Linked DNA regions of Canis lupus familiaris. The protein of the gene in region 1 interacts with the protein of each later gene in a biochemical or structural test. Links are inferred from orthologs where the notes say so. Each region holds a gene or a part of one and is shown on either strand. Other genes may lie near its edges.

Region 1 (4,341 bases):
TCTCCAGGATCACACCCTGGGCTAAAGGCGGCGCTAAACCGTTGAGCCACCTGGGCTGTCCAGCACGGGGTGTTATACTATATGTTGGCAAATCGAATTCCAATAAAAAAATATACCAAAAAAAAGGGGGGGGGGATTGTATTATTTGCTCAAAATGACACAGATAAGATCGACACATTTGATCTAATATAATCTAACAATTTATCAGCAGAGAACATCTAAATCATTAAAACCCAACTTTTTCAAAATACAACAATTTAGGTAGGAAAAAATGTAATTATTTCTTGAGACTTAATGCTAGTTATAGGTAGTAGACATTTGATGTGTAGCATTTTTTTTTTAAAGATTTTATTTGAGAGCGAGGAGAGAGCAAGCACTAACAAGAGGGAGAGGAAGAAGCAGGCTCCCTGCTGAGCAAGGAGTGGGGCGGGGGGTCATCCCAGAACCTTGGGATCATGACTCCAAGCGAAGGCAGACACCTAACCAACTGAGCCACCCAGATGCCCCTAGCATAACATTTTTAAAAATGATATTCAGATAGCTTTTAAATCCTGAATACCAAGAAAAAGCATCCCTCCAAATTATGTTAAAGAGCTGACATAATAATCTTAATTTGTACTGTTTAAAAATATGAAACAAATACTCCAAGTAAAGAAAATACAGGAATTTCTGGATTACATATTTAATACATTATGATATAGTGCCCCAAGGATGAAATATACATTCTTATAAGGTTAAAAAGAATTTCCAAGAAATGCAATGAGATCTACAGAAGACACATGTACCTTAAAAACACACACACACAGTTCCTGAAAGCTCCTTCCTTATTGACAAATACAAACATCTATGTTCTAAATTACCACAATATATTTCAAATAATTAAAAATCTAATGGCCGTAATCCTCTCGAAGCAAGATAAAACAGGTCTTCGGAAAGCAGCATACAAACAACCATAAATTTGTAAGATTCTTATAAATTACAAAGACCAAGATTTTTGGGATGCCCGGGTGGCCCAGCGGTTGAGCATCTGCCTTCCGGCTCAGGTGCGTGACCCCGGGGTCCTGGGATGGAGTCCCAAATGGGGCTCCCTGCATGGAGCCTGCTTCTCCCTCTGCCTCTGTCTCTGCCTCCCTCTCTCTCTCATTAATAAATCTTTCTTTTTTTAATAAATAAAATCTTAAAAAAAAAAAGACCAAGATTTTTAATTGTTACTCAATTACTGATGACCTTAAAGATTCAAGAACATCCTTAACTAATTCTTTATCTGTAAGAGGGCATCTCTTTTTTTTTTTTTTTTAAACATCCTTTACAAAGATACTCTTGCAGTTCTGCGAAGTGTTTACAGCGGATTCCTCAAATCAGTGTAACAAATGTAATCACAAGATGGAATTGCTACTGTGTTTGCCTTTCAGGTCACTTAACCTGTAGGGCTGACTTTTGAACAAGCTTATTACCTTCAAGTTCTGGTACAACGGACCAAGGTTACACGGCTATTTAAAAACGACGCCTAGAAAGGCTATTACTTACTGACAGTGCCAGTGGTTTCTTCACACAGGACACAAAGTGCACTCAGAGAGGTACAGGTTTGTCTGGACATCAAGTGTGTACATTAAAGTCAACGCACGGTTACCGTCTCCATAATTTAAAACCCCCAAGAAATGAGGACTTTCACATTATGATTTAACTATCAGTCAACAGGGCGAAGGTCGTCCATCAGGTGTAATCCCTTTACTCTACCATATTGACGGTAGTTTTGCGCTTGGCCTCAACCAGTTTTCAACTCCCCCCCCCCCCCGCCCCCGCCCCCCAAGCGAAAGCAATTTCAGACTATCTAAGGACACAAATGATCCCCAGCTCCTCCGCCTTCTCCTTCCTCTAGCGTCGGTTCAACGAGCTAACACAAAAAATACAGACACACACAGTCACTCCCTCGGCCCTGGTCCCTAGGGCATTAAAAAAAAAAAAAAAAAAGGCACAGGTTATTTACCCTACAGAGGCTCTGCAGTCCGTGCGGGGAGGTTTAAAAAAAAAAAAAAAAAGAAAAGAAAGAAAATGGGGGAAAATACCAGAATCAATCTGCACCCACACCTCAGCCCCGCCCCACAGGGAAAAAGCGGGGGGTGGCGGGAGTGTGAGGGGGCAGAAAGGACAGAACCGGCGGGGACTTCCAGCTCCCGGGCTGCCCAGGCCGTCGGCGCGGCCGCAGGCGGGGACCCCGACCCCCCTCCCCGCCAGCATCACCCACACAGTCCCCGCACCCCCGAGTCCTGGGCGGGGAGACCCGAGCCGGCCCTCTCCCTGCAGATCCAAGGGCTGAAGGCGGGGGTCTCCCTGCGCCCCCGGGGGTGCGGCGTGGGGGCGCCCGGACACCTCCGACCTAACCGGGGAAGGGGAAGGCGAACCGGGGGGGAGGGGTCTAAGAGGCGCCGTTATTCCTTTTTCCTCCTCGTTAGGAAAGCGCGCGAGCGGGGAGGGGCCGGAACGACGAACGCCAGTTCCCTATAACGGGCCCGCCGGGCCGGCCGGGCTCCCCGCCGCCGACGCCGCGCCTGCCGCGCAGCTGGCGGGACGGCCTGGGTCGCCCCGAGGGCCGGGCACCGAGGCAGGAGCGCCCGAGGCGATGGGAAGCGGGGGGTGGGGACTACGCGGAGCGACGTCGCCATGTTAGCGCCTTCTCTCTCCCTCTCCCTCCAGCCGCAGCCCTGCGGCCTTCCGCCCGCGCTACTCACCTTCCCAGGTCGCTAGTTCATGCTTCTCGCTGCCGCCCGGGAGGCCCGAGCTCAGCCGTGTTTACAAACTACCCCTGGAGGAAAGGGCTGAACCGCACTTTAAAGGCCACGGGCTCCCACAGGCTTCCGTCCTCTCTCGCGAGATCCGACTGACACCCCTTTCTCCCCGCCCCGCTCCCGGCATCCCCCCTTTCTTCTCGCGCCCCTCCCCTCCGCGCACACGCCCCTTCTTGCCTTCCTTTCGACCGAGCGCCTCCGGGTCAGGTGATGCCGTCAGCCTTCAGCGGCAGGGGGCGGGACCTGAGGAGGGAGGGGCTGGAGGGGGCGGGAACCAAAGGCCACTCAGTCGCAGACGATTGGTCAAGGAGCCCAGAGGGCGGGAAGCGGTTCCGGAAGGGGGCGGGGCCGAAGGAGCCGGAGGGGAGGAGCCTCCGTCACCTGCGGAAGGCTGTGATTGGCTGGGGCTGGAGACTGGCGGGGCTGTGGATGCGGGAACAGGTGGATGTCGGGGTGGCCCAAGGGCTTGACGGTGCGCGCCGAGGACGAGGGGACCTGCGGAAGAGGCTGCGAGTGGCGGGAGGGGAGGCGCGAGGAGGCCTCCGAGCTCCGTCACGGGAGCCCAGTATTTCTGCTGCCGTCCCTTCCGGGCCCTGGGTAGGAAGGAGGGCAAAACGTTAGGCGGGCGCGCGCCTGGACCCACTTTTCTGCTGCCCTGAAATGTGAGACGGGGAGGTTCCGTGGAGCTGAGATTTGGGAGAGGCGGAGTTTGCAGCAAAATGCCCCTCCCCCTCAAGGCCTCCACACGCCTGAAGCGGGAAAGAGAAGTCAGCTTTTTTTTTTTTTTTTTTAAGATTTTATTTATTTATGTATAAGAGATGGAGAGAGAGGCAGAGACTCAGGCAGAGGGAGAAGCAGGCTCCATGCAGGGAGCCCGATGCGGGACTCGATCCTGGGTCTCCAGGATCACGCCCTGGGCTGAAGGCTCAACCGCTGAGCCACCCGGGAGTCCCAAGAGAAGTCAGTTTTGCAAAAAGAAAAGAAAAGAAAAAAAAAGTGTCAGTTTTGCAAAAAAAAAAAAAAGTCAGTTTTACAAAGAAATGAAAAAGCCTTTGGATGGCATTTGTTCAAATTTTACGAAGCTATCGCTGATATTGGTTGTTCCGGCTCCTGAACGCCTGGTACCCGGAAGGATATGAAATGCAGCGCCCCCCACTATATAACTGTAAGTTGAAACAGCTCAAGGAGTTGCTTGCAAGAGAAAATCTTCCTTAGGAAGGTGTATTCTATCAATTTCCCTTTACTTAGTAGTTACAGATTTTAAACGTATCACCTTTAATGCAGATAATTTCAAACTTTTAAAACATCAACTCCTTAGTAACCTTTACTGGGGACCGAAGAACACCAAATTAGAATATGGACTAGAAATGGCTCTCTTCTCATAATACTAGCCAGTGCTCACTAGGTTGCTACGATGACAAAGAAATGTCTGTCAAGCTTTGAAAGTAGCTGTTTAAAAAAGAGTTAGAGAAGGGAGACCATTTGATTAATTTAACTTGAGGGACAAAAGATACCATATTTTCTGTTCTGCAGTCGACACAGATACACTCATGAA
Region 2 (4,239 bases), on another chromosome or scaffold:
ATCTGAAATAGGGATGGGGGAACAAAAGGAAAACGAATCTACCTTCCCAAAGGTTTCCTACGTTTTAAGACCAGGCACTTGGGGAGCAAAGCCATGCATTTAACAACTATAATCAACTATTGATTTCTGGTTCTGTGTGACTCAGTCAAATACCCCACCAGCCAGAGGTGGCCGGGACTTCCTGATCCTTGCTTCCTGCCAGGAAGAGCCCCAAGGTCCAGACCCACACCAGGGACCCTGCAGAGTTGGCGAGGTAAGTTGGTGCAGACGCTGTGAGGACTGCCAGTGAGGTCCTGGCTGGGATGACAGAGGGCAGTTAAGTGCAGCAGCTGAACAGACAGTTCTGGTCAGGCAAGCACCCCACAAAGCCCCCCCTGCCTGCCTGCCTTTCTCTCCATCCCCAGCTGAAAGAATCTCCAGAGAGCATCACTCATGGGGGGCGGGTACAGCCGGAACAGGAGGCCCTGCCCAGAGACACAGTCTGGGCTCGCCCTGCTGGCTCCCAGGCAGAGCAGCGAGTGAGGCCTGAGAACGCCCTGGAACCCAGTGCAGCCCGACTCACAAGTCATGGAAGCTGCGCAGGGAGGAGGCTGGGGTGAAGACATCCAGGAGCCCGATGACCTGGGAGAGAAGGTTGCCAGTGAGGCTGGGCAGCGCCACAGCCCTCTCCCCCTGTCCCTTGCAGCCCCAGCTGCACCCACCACCACCCACCCTCTCTGAATAACCATCCCGGCAGGAGGTAGGTTCCCAGCCTTCTGGGGAGCAGAGAAAAGGGCAGAGGCAGAAGAGGAATCCCCTTAACTGGGAGGGAGCTCGCAGGGCACAGTGATGGAATGTCAGGCTGGGGAGAAGCGGAGGGGGCCATCCCTGTGTCTACCAGCCCCAAGTCTGGGGTTCAAGGCAGGCCTGCAAATTCACCCTCCACTCAAGCAGGAAACCACAAGTGGTGAAGGGAATCAAGGAGGGAACAAGGCCTGGTTCGGAGCCAGGGGCAATGTCACCCTGGTGGGGGGTGGGGGGCTATGGGGAGGGGTTTGCTGAAGAGGGACAGGGCTTCCTACTTGCCTACCGTATTTTGGAATCATTATTTTACCAATCTACGTATCCTGGAGCAAAGCCCAGTTGTTAGGCCCAGCGCTGGGTCGCTAGACTTCCCAGGGGTTTCTAACAGACAGGATCTCCAGTGGTTATGCACTAAGGCCTGGTGCCAGGCTGCCTAGGTTCACATCTCAGCTCTGACACTGACTAACCATATAACCCATTAGTCTTTCTGTGCCTCAGTTTCCCCTCCTGTACATGGAAGTAATAGTACTCCACTCCCGTGATATTGTGAGGATTCACAAGTTAGTCTACGCAAAGCTCCGAGGACAGCACTTGGCACATAGAGGGCTCAAGGAACCCTGGTTGTCGTTGGCAGAGCCACGTGTGGAAGCCACAGTAACCAGGATGCTGGGCACCCTAGCTCTGAGAGCTAGAACGAACTACGAGGTTCCTCCGTGTGCATTTCCTCGTAATGTGAAACAGTAAGTTTGCACCTCACAAAGTTCATTTTGCTCCACTGCCAAAAACACACTTTGCACCCTTCCTGGAAGTAGGCAGGGCAGGTCCTGGCACCTCATTTTAATGAAGTGAGGAACAGTGGTGGGAGGGGCAGGGAGGAGATTCCCCTTCCCCTGTTCCCCTCCTGAGCCATCTGTACTCTCACGGCCTTCTTGCCATCTCCCCTACACTCAAAAGTGGGGGAGGAAGGGTGCACCTAGTCAGGATGCTTGGGGGCCCCGCCCCCACCCGCCGGTCCCCCAGGCCCAGCCTACGTTTTCATGCTGCATGTGCTTCAGCAGCTGCAGCTCTCGGTAGGCACGTTTGGCAAAGATCTCAGACTGGAAGGGCCGGCTCAGCTTCTTGATGGCCACCTTCTCCCCTGACCGCTTGTCGATGGCACAGCTGCAGGGCACGGGCAGAGGTCCGGGGGGCTGTGGCTTTCTTTCCACGCCAGCAGCCCCCACACCACAACCCGGATGGCATCCCCCAGGCCACTGCGGGGAGCCCAGGCCATCCTCACCGAAACCCCTCCCGGGCAGCAGGCTGGGCTGCGCAGAAGGCAGCCCACGAGCCGCAAGGTGAGGGAGCAGCCCCCAGTGCCCTCAGGGGCGGCAGTGACCGAGGGGTGCATGAACCGGATCCAGAGCCCGGAGGGGGGCTCACTCTTTGCACCTTGGCAAGTCGCACTTCTCCCTCTTTGGGTCTCGGTGTACCCACCTGTAACCCGGATGAACTCTGGGGTCCCTTGTGGGATTCAAGCGCTGGGGACCCAGACCCCCAGTCCTAATTGAGCCCCCAGAGACCCCACAAAGCCGGTGGGAACAGTGAGGTGGCGCCCGGTCTGCCCCAGCCTGAGGCCTGCGGCCTCCTCCCAGCTCCAAGCGCCGCAGGACCAGCCCCGCAGGACCCTGGGCCGCCCCCCCCCCCCCGGAGGTGGCGCGCGCGGCCCCGAGCGCCCAGCAGGGGCGGGGGGCGCCCCGAGGCGGGTCGGGGAAGGGGGGCGCCGGCCCGGCTGGTCGGGAGGCTCCGCCCGCCCCGCGCCCCGCGCCCCGCGCCCCGGGGTCTCACCACACGGCGCCGTAGGCCCCGCTGCCCACGTGCGTCGGCGACACGTAGGTCTTGGGCAGCTCCCAGGCGGTCTTGTTGACGTCCTGCCTGTAGAAGCCCTTTTTCCGGGTGAAGCTCATCCCGGGCGCCCGACGTCGGCGGCCCCAGCGCGGCGCCTGCGATCGCCGCCCGCCGGCTCCCTGCACCGGGGCCGCCCGCCGCCCGCTCCTCCCCCGCGCGAGGGCGGGGCCCGGGCTCGGCGCGTCCCACCTGCCGGCTCGCCCAGGTGCGCGGGGCGCGGCCACGCCGGACCTGCCCACGGCCCCCGCGCGGGGCCCCGCCGCAGCCCGGCCGGCAGGTGAGCAGGCGGCGGGAGCGGGTGCTGGGGAGGCCCGGGGGGCTCCCGGGGGCGGAGGCGGGGGGACAGGGCTCCCGGGGCCCCCGGCCCGAGACTGGGGAGGGGGGATCTTGCGCGGGGTTGGGGGTGGAGCTGGTGGAGACGATTCTGGAGAAACAAAACCCCACAACTTTTGATTACGGCAAGTTTCGAAAAGGTACGAAAGTAGACAGACGAGACCGGTGAGTCCCACGTTTGAACGTGCCCTGAATCCCCTGGGACTTGTGTTTGCTTAGAAAGACTGGGGGGATCCCTGGGTGGCTGCGGGATCCCGGATCCAGTCCCACGTCGGGCTCCCTGCATGGAGCCTGCTTCTGCCTCTGCCTGTGTCTGCCTCTCTTTGTGTCTCTCTTGAATAAATAAGTAAAATCTTAAAAAAAAAAAAAAAAAAAGAATGCACACTCTGGCCCAGTTGATCTGGGGCGGAGCCAAGATTGTGCATTTCGAACCCGCTCCGCTCAGAGACTCTCGGGACCTCACTTTCTGGCGATCGTGACCCCAGCCCCGCAGCTTCAACAGTTATATCAACCCTTAGCTGATGTTTTGTTTTGTTTTAATTTATTTCTTTCTTCATGAGAGACACACAGAGAGAGGCAGAGACAGGCAGAGGGAGAAGCAGGCTCCCTGCAGGGAGCCCGACGCGGGACTCCATCTCGGACCTCGGGATCACATCCCAAGCCTAAGGCAGACGCTCACCCGCTGAGCCACCCAGGCGTCCCTACTCTCAGCCAGTTTTGTTTCCATCATTTTGAAGCAACACCAGGTATCATATAATTTCATCCATAAATATTTTTTGTGTCTCTAAAGGCTAAGGACTGCTTTTAAGACATAACCACAATGTCATTTTTACATCTAAAATTACCAACAGTGATTCTATAGCACCAACTTTCCAGTCCAGGCCCAAATTTCCAATTTTGAACGTTTTTTTTTGCTGGCATCCTAATGCCCCATGAGGGCAATGACGGGCCAGGGCCTTCTGCCACCTGTGTCTGGTGGCTGATTCTGTGCTCATACAGGGAAGGGGTCGTGGAAGGGGTGGGGACCACTCGCTTCACTTAATCAAAGGGAGAGAAGAGATCTTGAAGAAGGCAAGGAACTTGCTTGTGGCCCAAGCCCTGGGCCGTGGTCACTCCCAGCGTCGTTCAGCATCAGGCACAGTCTGGAGACCACTGCAGGACGGGGACGGTGCGGGGATCCCACAGAAATGCCCAGCAGGCATCACATTCCAGGACCCTGCCTTATTCATATCTGGC
Region 3 (4,439 bases), on another chromosome or scaffold:
GTCGGCGCCCATCAGGGTGGTCACCAGGTACCTGGGAGGGGTCAGGGGTCAGCAGGCAGCCCCCACAATGCGCTCCCGAGCCCCGCATCAGCTGCCACTCACACTTCGCTGAAGTCCTCAATGGAGGTGGCCGGCGTGAACACGTCCAGCAGCCCGATGACCTGCGTGGGGACGGGCGTCAGGACTCGGCGAGGCGCCCTGGGGCTGTGTGCCCCGTGTGTGCCCCACCCCCACCCCGCTGACCTGCCCCGGCGCTCCAGGCTCACATTCTCATGCTTCAGATGCTTGAGCAGGCGCAGCTCGCGGTAAGTTCTCCGTGCGTGGATCAGCGACTGGAAGGGGCGCGACAGTTTCTTCACCGCCACCTTCTGGCGCAGCCGTGTGTCGTAGGCCGAGCTGCAAGGTGGGTGAGTGAGGCGGCGGGGTGGGGGCTGGCCATGCACCCAGGGCCCCTGCCTTTTTCAGAGGGCCCCTCGGGTGCACCACTGTCCATGTGGCCAGCCCGAGTCCAGCACCTGGGGAGCCTCTCCTCTGTGCCTCGTTCCTCAAGGGGCACCCACTCTCCAGTCCCCCTTCCCACACACATCCCAGCCATCCCAGGTCCCTGCCTGCCCCGCCTGGGACCCATGGGGCAGGATCTGGATCTTCTCCCCACAATCCAGCATGAGGCTGGGGGACAAACTCCACCAACCAGGTCAGGAAAACAGACATTGTGAACCATCCCCTTTCACCCCAAACGGTCCTCCTGCTCCCCTATGGGCCCACCACTCGTGGAGGCCCCCCCGGGTTCCAGAGCTACCTCCAGAGCCCCTGGACCCCCCCCACCTCTGAATATTCAAAATATGGATAAAAAGCTAGCTGAAAACGTTTACTGCGTTATTATTTCTAAGAGTGAGAAACTGGACTATACGAAGCATTCAGCAGAGGGTGGTGTCTGGACCCACAAAACATTCCCCTAGGCCCGCCCCACCCCCCAAGTTCCAGAAGTTCCACTGCACACCAGCTTCCACACCCCTCCACTCTGCACTGGAAACATCGTCTCCACACGCAAACGGCCTGTCACCGCTGGGCCCTCCCAGAGTTGCCGGCCTGGCCCTGGGGCCGCACTAGGCGTCCTACCTTTACAGGGACCAGGTCCTCACTGCTGCTCAGCCCTTCCCTCCCTCTCCTTTACCTGCACCCTCTAGAATTGTGCTTCCCCCAGGAGTGCATGCTGTCTACATGGGGAGCGGCTCCTGCAGCACCTGAGGTGCTCACGGGGCCCGGGGCAGGGGTGCAGGAAACCCAGTAGGTGTCTCGGGCCTCCATGCCCCTTCCTCCAGGCTGTAGCTTTTGGGGGAAGGTCCACGTCCCTTCTGGGGACACAAGCAGGGGAGTGGCCCCTCACGTGGGGCAGCAGATCCTTTGCTCAACTGTGTGTGCAAACTGAGTGACAAAAATGGGCACTGGGTCACAGCTTCACAGAACACGGGAGCCCAGGCGAGGGCCATTGCCTGCACTGGAGCACCGGCGCGTGCGGGCAGTGGGGAGAGACCCAGGGCTCCCCCGGGGAGTGTGATGCTCCCTAGGGACCCAAGCGATTCCAGCAAGACTCTATATTCCCCAGAGGCCACCTATGCACTGTCCTGATCCTCTTGCCTTTGAGGTCCGTCTTAGGGATGAAGACAGGCCCGAGGCTGGAATGCATAGGACAGCCAGCCTGGGGCCTCCCACACGTCGGCCAGTGACAACAGATGGGGGGACAGCAGCCCTGCTCCAGGCCCCAGCACTGAGCCCCTGGAGGGGTCAGGAAGTCCCCCAGGAGCAATGCCCCATCCCTAGGGGCTCCGGCCTCCCCATGTCTAAGACCTCCCCAGCCATCTGGCTGAGGCCTTGGGAAGGACCCCACTGGTTTTGGGGAGCACCTCTCAACATCCACATCCACACTCAGCTGGTCAGTATTGCAACTGCACTCCGAGTTCCCGTAAGCACCTTACCCTAAACCCCTCAGTGCCTCCCTAACCCTACACAGGTCTCAGCCAAGTCCCTTCCTCGCTCCCACTTGCAGACTGTCCTCGGGGGCCCAGGGACCAGGTGCGGGCTGTAGCCTGAGGTCTCCTGGTTAGAGCAAAAATGGAGTGGGGTGTAGGCCGACCCCACAAGTATGGTAGGGGGAGACGGCAGGCATCTCTGCTGGGCCCTCGGAGGGGGACGGCAGGCATCTCTGCTGGGCCCTCGGCCCCATCCAGAGTCTGAGACCCTTGGGAAACGGGAGGGGCAGGACCGGCCCCGGAGTTGGAGGCCATTGCAAGGGGAGGGGTCCTACCCCCCCCCCCAAGTTGGGTTCTTTTCTTTTGCAAACAGAAGTACTGGCTGGTACCGCACCTGCCAGACCCCGGGGTGCCGGCCCTTGCCTGGGGGCGAGGCGCACTCTCACGCGTGTAGGGCCCGGGGAGCCGCCCTTCCGCCGACCGTGACGCCGCAGGACCGGGGCCTCGGGGCGCTGGGGGGGGACGACCCCTCCCCGCAGCCCCGGGCCGCGTCCGGGGAAAGTTTCCTTCCGCCCCCGCCCCCATCCTCCGCGGCGGCCGGGATGGCCCGGGGCGGGGGCGCGCGAGGCCCCTCCCCACGCCGCGCTGCCGGCCGAGGGAGGGAGGGAGGGAGGAGGGGAGGGGGGAGGGGGGAGGGGGCGCGCCCCGGTCCCGCCCGCGCCGCCGCGCCCTGCCCGCCGCCCCTACCAGACCGAGCCGTAGGCGCCGGAGCCCACCGGGCGCAGCCCCTGCAGCCGCCGCGGCACCTCCCACACCGTCTTGTTGAGCTCCTGCCGGTAGAAGCCTGCGCGCGGGCCCGACATGGCCGAAGCGGCCGCCGCCCGCCCGCCCCGCCCCTGCCCCCGCCCGCCCGCGCCCCCGCCGGAGCCCCAGCCCCAGCCCGAGCCCCAGCCCCAGCCCGAGCCGCAGCCCGAGCCGAGCGCACGGAGGGCGGCGGGAGGAGGCGGCGGCGCGGGGCGGGGCCGGGGAGCGCGGGGCCCGACGCGCGGCTTCCTGCCCCAGCCGGGCGGTGTCTGGGCGGACGGCTGCCCCCCGCCCCATCCGGGGCCCGCACCCCTAACCCCTGCGCCCCGCCCCCTCCCGGGCCCCGCACCCCGCACCCCCTCCCGCACCCCTCCCGGGCCCCGCACACTCCCCCCCCGCCCCGCACCCTTCCTCCCGCACCCCTCCCGGGCCCCGCACCCCCCCCCCGCCCCCTGCCGGGCCCCGCACCCCCAGCCTCCGGCTGCAGCGCGCGCTCGCCGGGGCACCGCCCTGCCCGCAGCCTCAGCTCCCCGCCCCCTCCCCTGCCGGCACCGCGGGTCCGCGCACCGGCCCCCCCCACCCCCCGCTCCGGGCCCTGCACGACACCCCTGCGCAGCTGCATAGGAAACGCCGCCCAAGGAACCCGAACACTTGGTGGGACGTGGCCGTGGGGCAGGCAGGTGGGTGGCCCGGCCCCCCCCCGCCGCCCCGCCCGCGCCGTGGCCCGTGTCCGGGGCCTCCAGTGGCTGCGCGGCGGCTCCCGCTCGGGGCTGGCCTGGGCACCGCCGGGGGCGAGGCGCTGCTGGTGCGGCCCGAGGACCAGCCCCTTCAGGACCAGGGACAGCGGCAGCGCCCGGCCACCTCTGAGGTGCTGTACCCACAAACAGCTGCCCCCAACCGGGCCCCTTCGGTTCCCAGCTCCTCTCCTCCTAACCCCCTTCCGCCGCCACCTCTTGCGAGAAGCCCACCCTGACTTTCCCATGTCCTGCGCGGCTCCTCCGGGGCATCACCGCAGCTCGTTCCCTGTGTCCCCTCGGCAGCGCTGCCCGTCCCTCACCCCGAAGGGCGGCCTCGCCTCTGTCCGGTGCTGGGCTCGCGCACCTCTCCTTCCCCCTCAAAGGTGACCAGCACTGCCGGGTGACAGGTGCCTTCGGACGCGCGATGAGGGCGGGGGCAGGGCTGGCACCTCCGGGGACATGGCAGCCACGCCCTCTTCCAAACAAACCAAACCCTGAGATTTTATGTGAAATCTGCTGGCTTTAAATACCAGCAGCCAAATTAAAGCAAAGCGTTGTCAGGGCAGCACCGGGCAAACGTCACTGCCCGGCGCATCGGGACTGCAGCGTGAGCCGAGCCCCGCCCGCGGCCAGCCTGGCAGGACCCCGGCCTCAGTTTCCCCTCTGGGACCCCGGTGTCCCCGCCCCGCGGGGCGGTGCCTGGGTTTTGTGCGGAGCCAGTGCAGCTTCAGCTGAAGGCGGGGAGGGGGCGGCCTTTGTTAGCGCTGGGGGTGCCCCCAGGTTCCCATGGCGACAGGGCCCTCCTCCCGGCCAGCGTCCTGCCCGGAGGACAGAGCTCCATGGGAGGGACCCCGGTGGGACCCCTGCTGGGCCTTCCCACAATGCCATCCCGGCCACTGGCTGCAGGAGGTGGCTGCGGCCAGGTGAC
Region 4 (3,690 bases), on another chromosome or scaffold:
TGACCCTGAGATCAAGACCTGAGCAGAGATCGAGTTGGACACCTGACCAACCGAGCTACCTGGTTGCCCTGGAGTAGTAAATATCTTCAAGTACCTCAAAACTAGGAGTGAAATCAAAGTGGCTCATCCTGTTCACAAAACTATAAGCACATAGGCACCATTAAGGATTCTAAGTAAGACAAGGAAAGACCCCTCGGTGGATCCTCCTGGCCACACCTTGTGAGAAAAACACTTATACCAATACTCGGGAATATCTGATTAGTATACTTGCATATTTTTGAAAACTTGAGATTCAGAAATTTGCAGGACATTTTTAGCAACAGACGAAAAAGAAACGTTTTGCCTTTTGATTAAAAATATTTGCTAATATTGGAAGGAAATGACGACACTCCAACATCCACCCGTGTTCACGTTAAGTCTGTAATCAGAGATGGTGATGTAGAAATATAGCCAAGTGTCACTTAGAAACACACAAGAACTGGACATGCTATATACTTCTCTTTTAAAATGTATCTGTATTATTTTCACTAATCAAAACACACATAATATATTTTATTATAAAACATTAGGCAATGTTACTTTTGAGATCTGCAATCTGAAGGTCACACCTGTATTTACTACCAGCATGAAACACCAGAGGAGGACATTAGAAATCAACCAGACAGACTCATACATGGTCACCATGACTTACACAGTATTGAATCTGGATTAAACTGCTGGATTATCCCATCCAGAGGTTCAACCAGGGACTCTGGGTGTCAGCAGGGGGCCCTGCCAAGGGTTTTCTCCTTCCAGCATGGAGGCTCTGAGTTTCATGTCCCCAAGAGAAGAACAGAGCCCCACTTCCATTTCTGCGACCACGACTGATCAGCACTGAGCAGTCCGTGTTTCCACAATGTTCTCCTGCTCTGATAGACCCTCTCTGCTCTCTGAAACCTGCACCTGAGGTCAAGACCTGACATAGGGGAGGCAGTCGTTTCCTTTTTGACTGAAAACTAAGCCAACAAATAAAATAAACCTAGTCCCAATTCCAGGCTAATAATAAATTACCTGGTTTATAAAAATATGTGTCCAAAATAGTTACTTCCAGGGTTGTGTACAATATAAATTACAAAAATAAAATAGAAAAGATGAAAAAGTTGAGCACGTTTTAGTTCTTTTCCCAACATCAGCATTCATCCATAGACAGCAGTTTGAAACTGTCTGCAATGCACCAGGACCCTGGCACATTTTGGCTCAGGACGGAGGACCATGATGGGGGCTGAGGTATTTCTATGGGAGCTCTGCTCTCTGCGGCCAGTGGCCTGTCCCACCCTGGTGCACTCCTGCTGTCTGATGGGTGGTGGGCATGGCAGGAAGCCCACCCACGCCCAGACAAGCTCCATCCAAGAATATGCAGGAGGAATGATAACTGAGTAAAAAGCCAGTCTGCAGAGGCACCCAAGCTCCTCTCAGGATCCAGACCTTGGATGGATACAGGAGCTTCACAAGCCCTCAGCATCCCCAGGCCGCGTTCACAGAAGCCAAGGGCAGTTCATACATTTAAAAAATTCTCCTCTCTCTTTTTCTATTTAAAGATAGATTTAGTGAAGTCTTTTTAAAGAATATGTATTAGAGAAAAGGCCATTTTAAGATGTTTATATATAGATAATGATAACTTTCTTCACTATACCATCAGGCCTCCAAAGCCAAAACCATCCTGAGCCATATCATAATAGGTATTTCTCCTTTAATCCAAGTCAGAATTTCCATCTTGTACCTGAATGTGTCTAAACCTCACAATATAAAACTATTACCTTCAATAATAATTTTGTTCATCAAGGGTTCCAGTTTCCAGTGATCAGACCCACCAATAAGATACAACTGGTGCGAGAGAATCATATCTTTTTGATAATATTTATAATAAAATTTCTTATCAAAGTTCCTCCTCAGAACACATTCCTATAGAATGCTGACCCAATAGCTTCCAAAAACAGTAAAACACAAGATATGAATTTTTAACAGAATAAGCTCATGGGGCAAGCATTAGGAGCACAGGTAACCAAAAAAATGTGATCATTGTAACTCCATTTCTGCAGTGACACTTCAGTACTCAGTAGCTTAGTGAACTCTGAATAATTTCCACATCAGAAAGTCTGAAAGCATCAATTTCAGGTGAGCAGTTTTAAATCAGAAAGTACTCAATGGTTAATCACCACTCTTGAGGGCACTTCCTCCAAAAAAACCCCATGAGGAGGTTTCCCAGAAAATTCATGGGTTTCCCTTAGGAAAAGGGGATGCTCCACGAAGTGGAAAAAACCACCACCACCACCACACAGGCGTTTGGAATCACTTCGCTTCCTCGAACAGATCCAAGTGTGGGGAGGTTGGGGGTGGATGGATGGGGTTATGTGGCTTCTTTCAGCAAAGAAAGAAAAGCCAAATAAGAACATTAGGTTGGAAATTGGAAACGCTGTCCTGGGAGATGGTGCACCTCCCCAGGAATGAGGGAATGACCCTGACCAGGCTTGGGGAAAGCAAGCGCTCAGGAAGTCACCGCAGTCAGCTTCAGTGACCGTCTTGTCAAATTCTACTCTCACCGCTAATGGACTTGAGAATCTGCCATTGTGTTGTTGACATGAAGTGTTAGGTGCCTGATCAAGAAGGCGAAGTTTTAGGTGGGATTTTAAATTAATAAGTCCAGAAGACCAGGAAAAATGAGTGAGGGTAGATTAGGATTTTAAAGGTATATCTGTCTTAGGCAGCACAAAACTTAAAATTTTATCATGCAATAAAGATGAATGTACACTCATCCCAAATTCAGACAATTTAGAGGAAACAAAGTGTCCATATAAATGTCTAGATTTCAGCAGTGATAATTCTCAGCCCAAAACATGAAAATTTAAAAAAAAGTTGTATTTTTTTATTAAATAGATTTAATTATATTCCTTCTGAAATACAAAAGATAGAATAAATTGTATCATAAAAGGTAAGACGTGATAATATGATGGTGGCCAATTAACACATAAATCTATTTTTTCTGGACAGACACCAAATTACTTGAGAGGATTAAGAGATCATTCTAGAAGCAGCACTACCTGGAAGATTATTTGGCATTTAAATACTGATTTCCAAAGTGCTAGATGGCAAGTCTGAGCAAGCACATGTGGTCACATGCATGTAAGTCCCAACAGTTATGAGGATGAGAAATTGTCACTATGACCGCACAACTTAAAAAAAAAATTGTCTATTCTAATTGCTCACCTGAAATGACCTTGAACAAAATCTCTAAGAGTGTGGCTTGCACGTGTTTTCTCCAGACATAATCTGCTTCGTTGTAGAATCTAGGCAGGCAATCCTATTAGAACTGAGTAGGGGCAAGGCATCGTGTTTCTTACATGCAGAACATGGAGTTTTCTGTTTGGTTCCATCAACCCCCAAGCATTTCAGGCCCATGGAAGCGAGAGCTCCTTCACTGTTGACGAGCTTGTTACTTGTGACTTATCATCGGCAGCCTTCGAGGGGTCCCGTCGAGGCATCAAGGCTGCTGTCTGTGTCTGAGGCCAGCGTCTGCTCCGTGGACATGGATGAGATGTCGTTGATGGATGATGACCGGGAAGGAGTGGCATTGCTACTTACTGCTGCATCTGTGCTAAGAAAACCAAATATAATAAAATCTGAGGCACGACACTGCTGCAGGTTCGGGCAGTG

What was found.
Region 2: of the proteins of ATF2 (region 1) and MAPK13, one has a biochemical effect on the other in vitro, tested with the Homo sapiens proteins (2 studies listed by BioGRID and IntAct). The link is inferred for Canis lupus familiaris from reciprocal best matches to the Homo sapiens genes ATF2 and MAPK13.
Region 3: of the proteins of ATF2 (region 1) and MAPK11, one has a biochemical effect on the other in vitro, tested with the Homo sapiens proteins (4 studies listed by BioGRID and IntAct). The link is inferred for Canis lupus familiaris from reciprocal best matches to the Homo sapiens genes ATF2 and MAPK11.
Region 4: of the proteins of ATF2 (region 1) and MAPK9, one has a biochemical effect on the other in vitro, tested with the Homo sapiens proteins (4 studies listed by BioGRID and IntAct, with this or other methods). The link is inferred for Canis lupus familiaris from reciprocal best matches to the Homo sapiens genes ATF2 and MAPK9.

Annotation. Positions count from the first base shown.
Region 1 is NC_049257.1:19,437,786-19,442,126, forward strand, and holds the start of ATF2 (cyclic AMP-dependent transcription factor ATF-2), read right to left. Parts: upstream 2,900-4,341; 5' UTR 2,730-2,899; intron 1-2,729. UniProt on the Homo sapiens protein: Transcriptional activator which regulates the transcription of various genes, including those involved in anti-apoptosis, cell growth, and DNA damage response.
Region 2 is NC_049233.1:5,419,932-5,424,170, reverse strand, and holds the start of MAPK13 (mitogen-activated protein kinase 13), read right to left. Parts: upstream 2,803-4,239; 5' UTR 2,730-2,802; coding exon 2,611-2,729; intron 1,945-2,610; coding exon 1,815-1,944; intron 622-1,814; coding exon 563-621; intron 1-562. UniProt on the Homo sapiens protein: Serine/threonine kinase which acts as an essential component of the MAP kinase signal transduction pathway.
Region 3 is NC_049231.1:17,883,625-17,888,063, reverse strand, and holds the start of MAPK11 (mitogen-activated protein kinase 11), read right to left. Parts: upstream 2,851-4,439; 5' UTR 2,834-2,850; coding exon 2,718-2,833; intron 397-2,717; coding exon 267-396; intron 162-266; coding exon 103-161; intron 32-102; coding exon 1-31. UniProt on the Homo sapiens protein: Serine/threonine kinase which acts as an essential component of the MAP kinase signal transduction pathway.
Region 4 is NC_049232.1:1,739,830-1,743,519, reverse strand, and holds the end of MAPK9 (mitogen-activated protein kinase 9), read right to left. Parts: intron 3,632-3,690; coding exon of another isoform or gene 3,627-3,631; coding exon 3,484-3,626; 3' UTR 493-3,483; downstream 1-492. UniProt on the Homo sapiens protein: Serine/threonine-protein kinase involved in various processes such as cell proliferation, differentiation, migration, transformation and programmed cell death.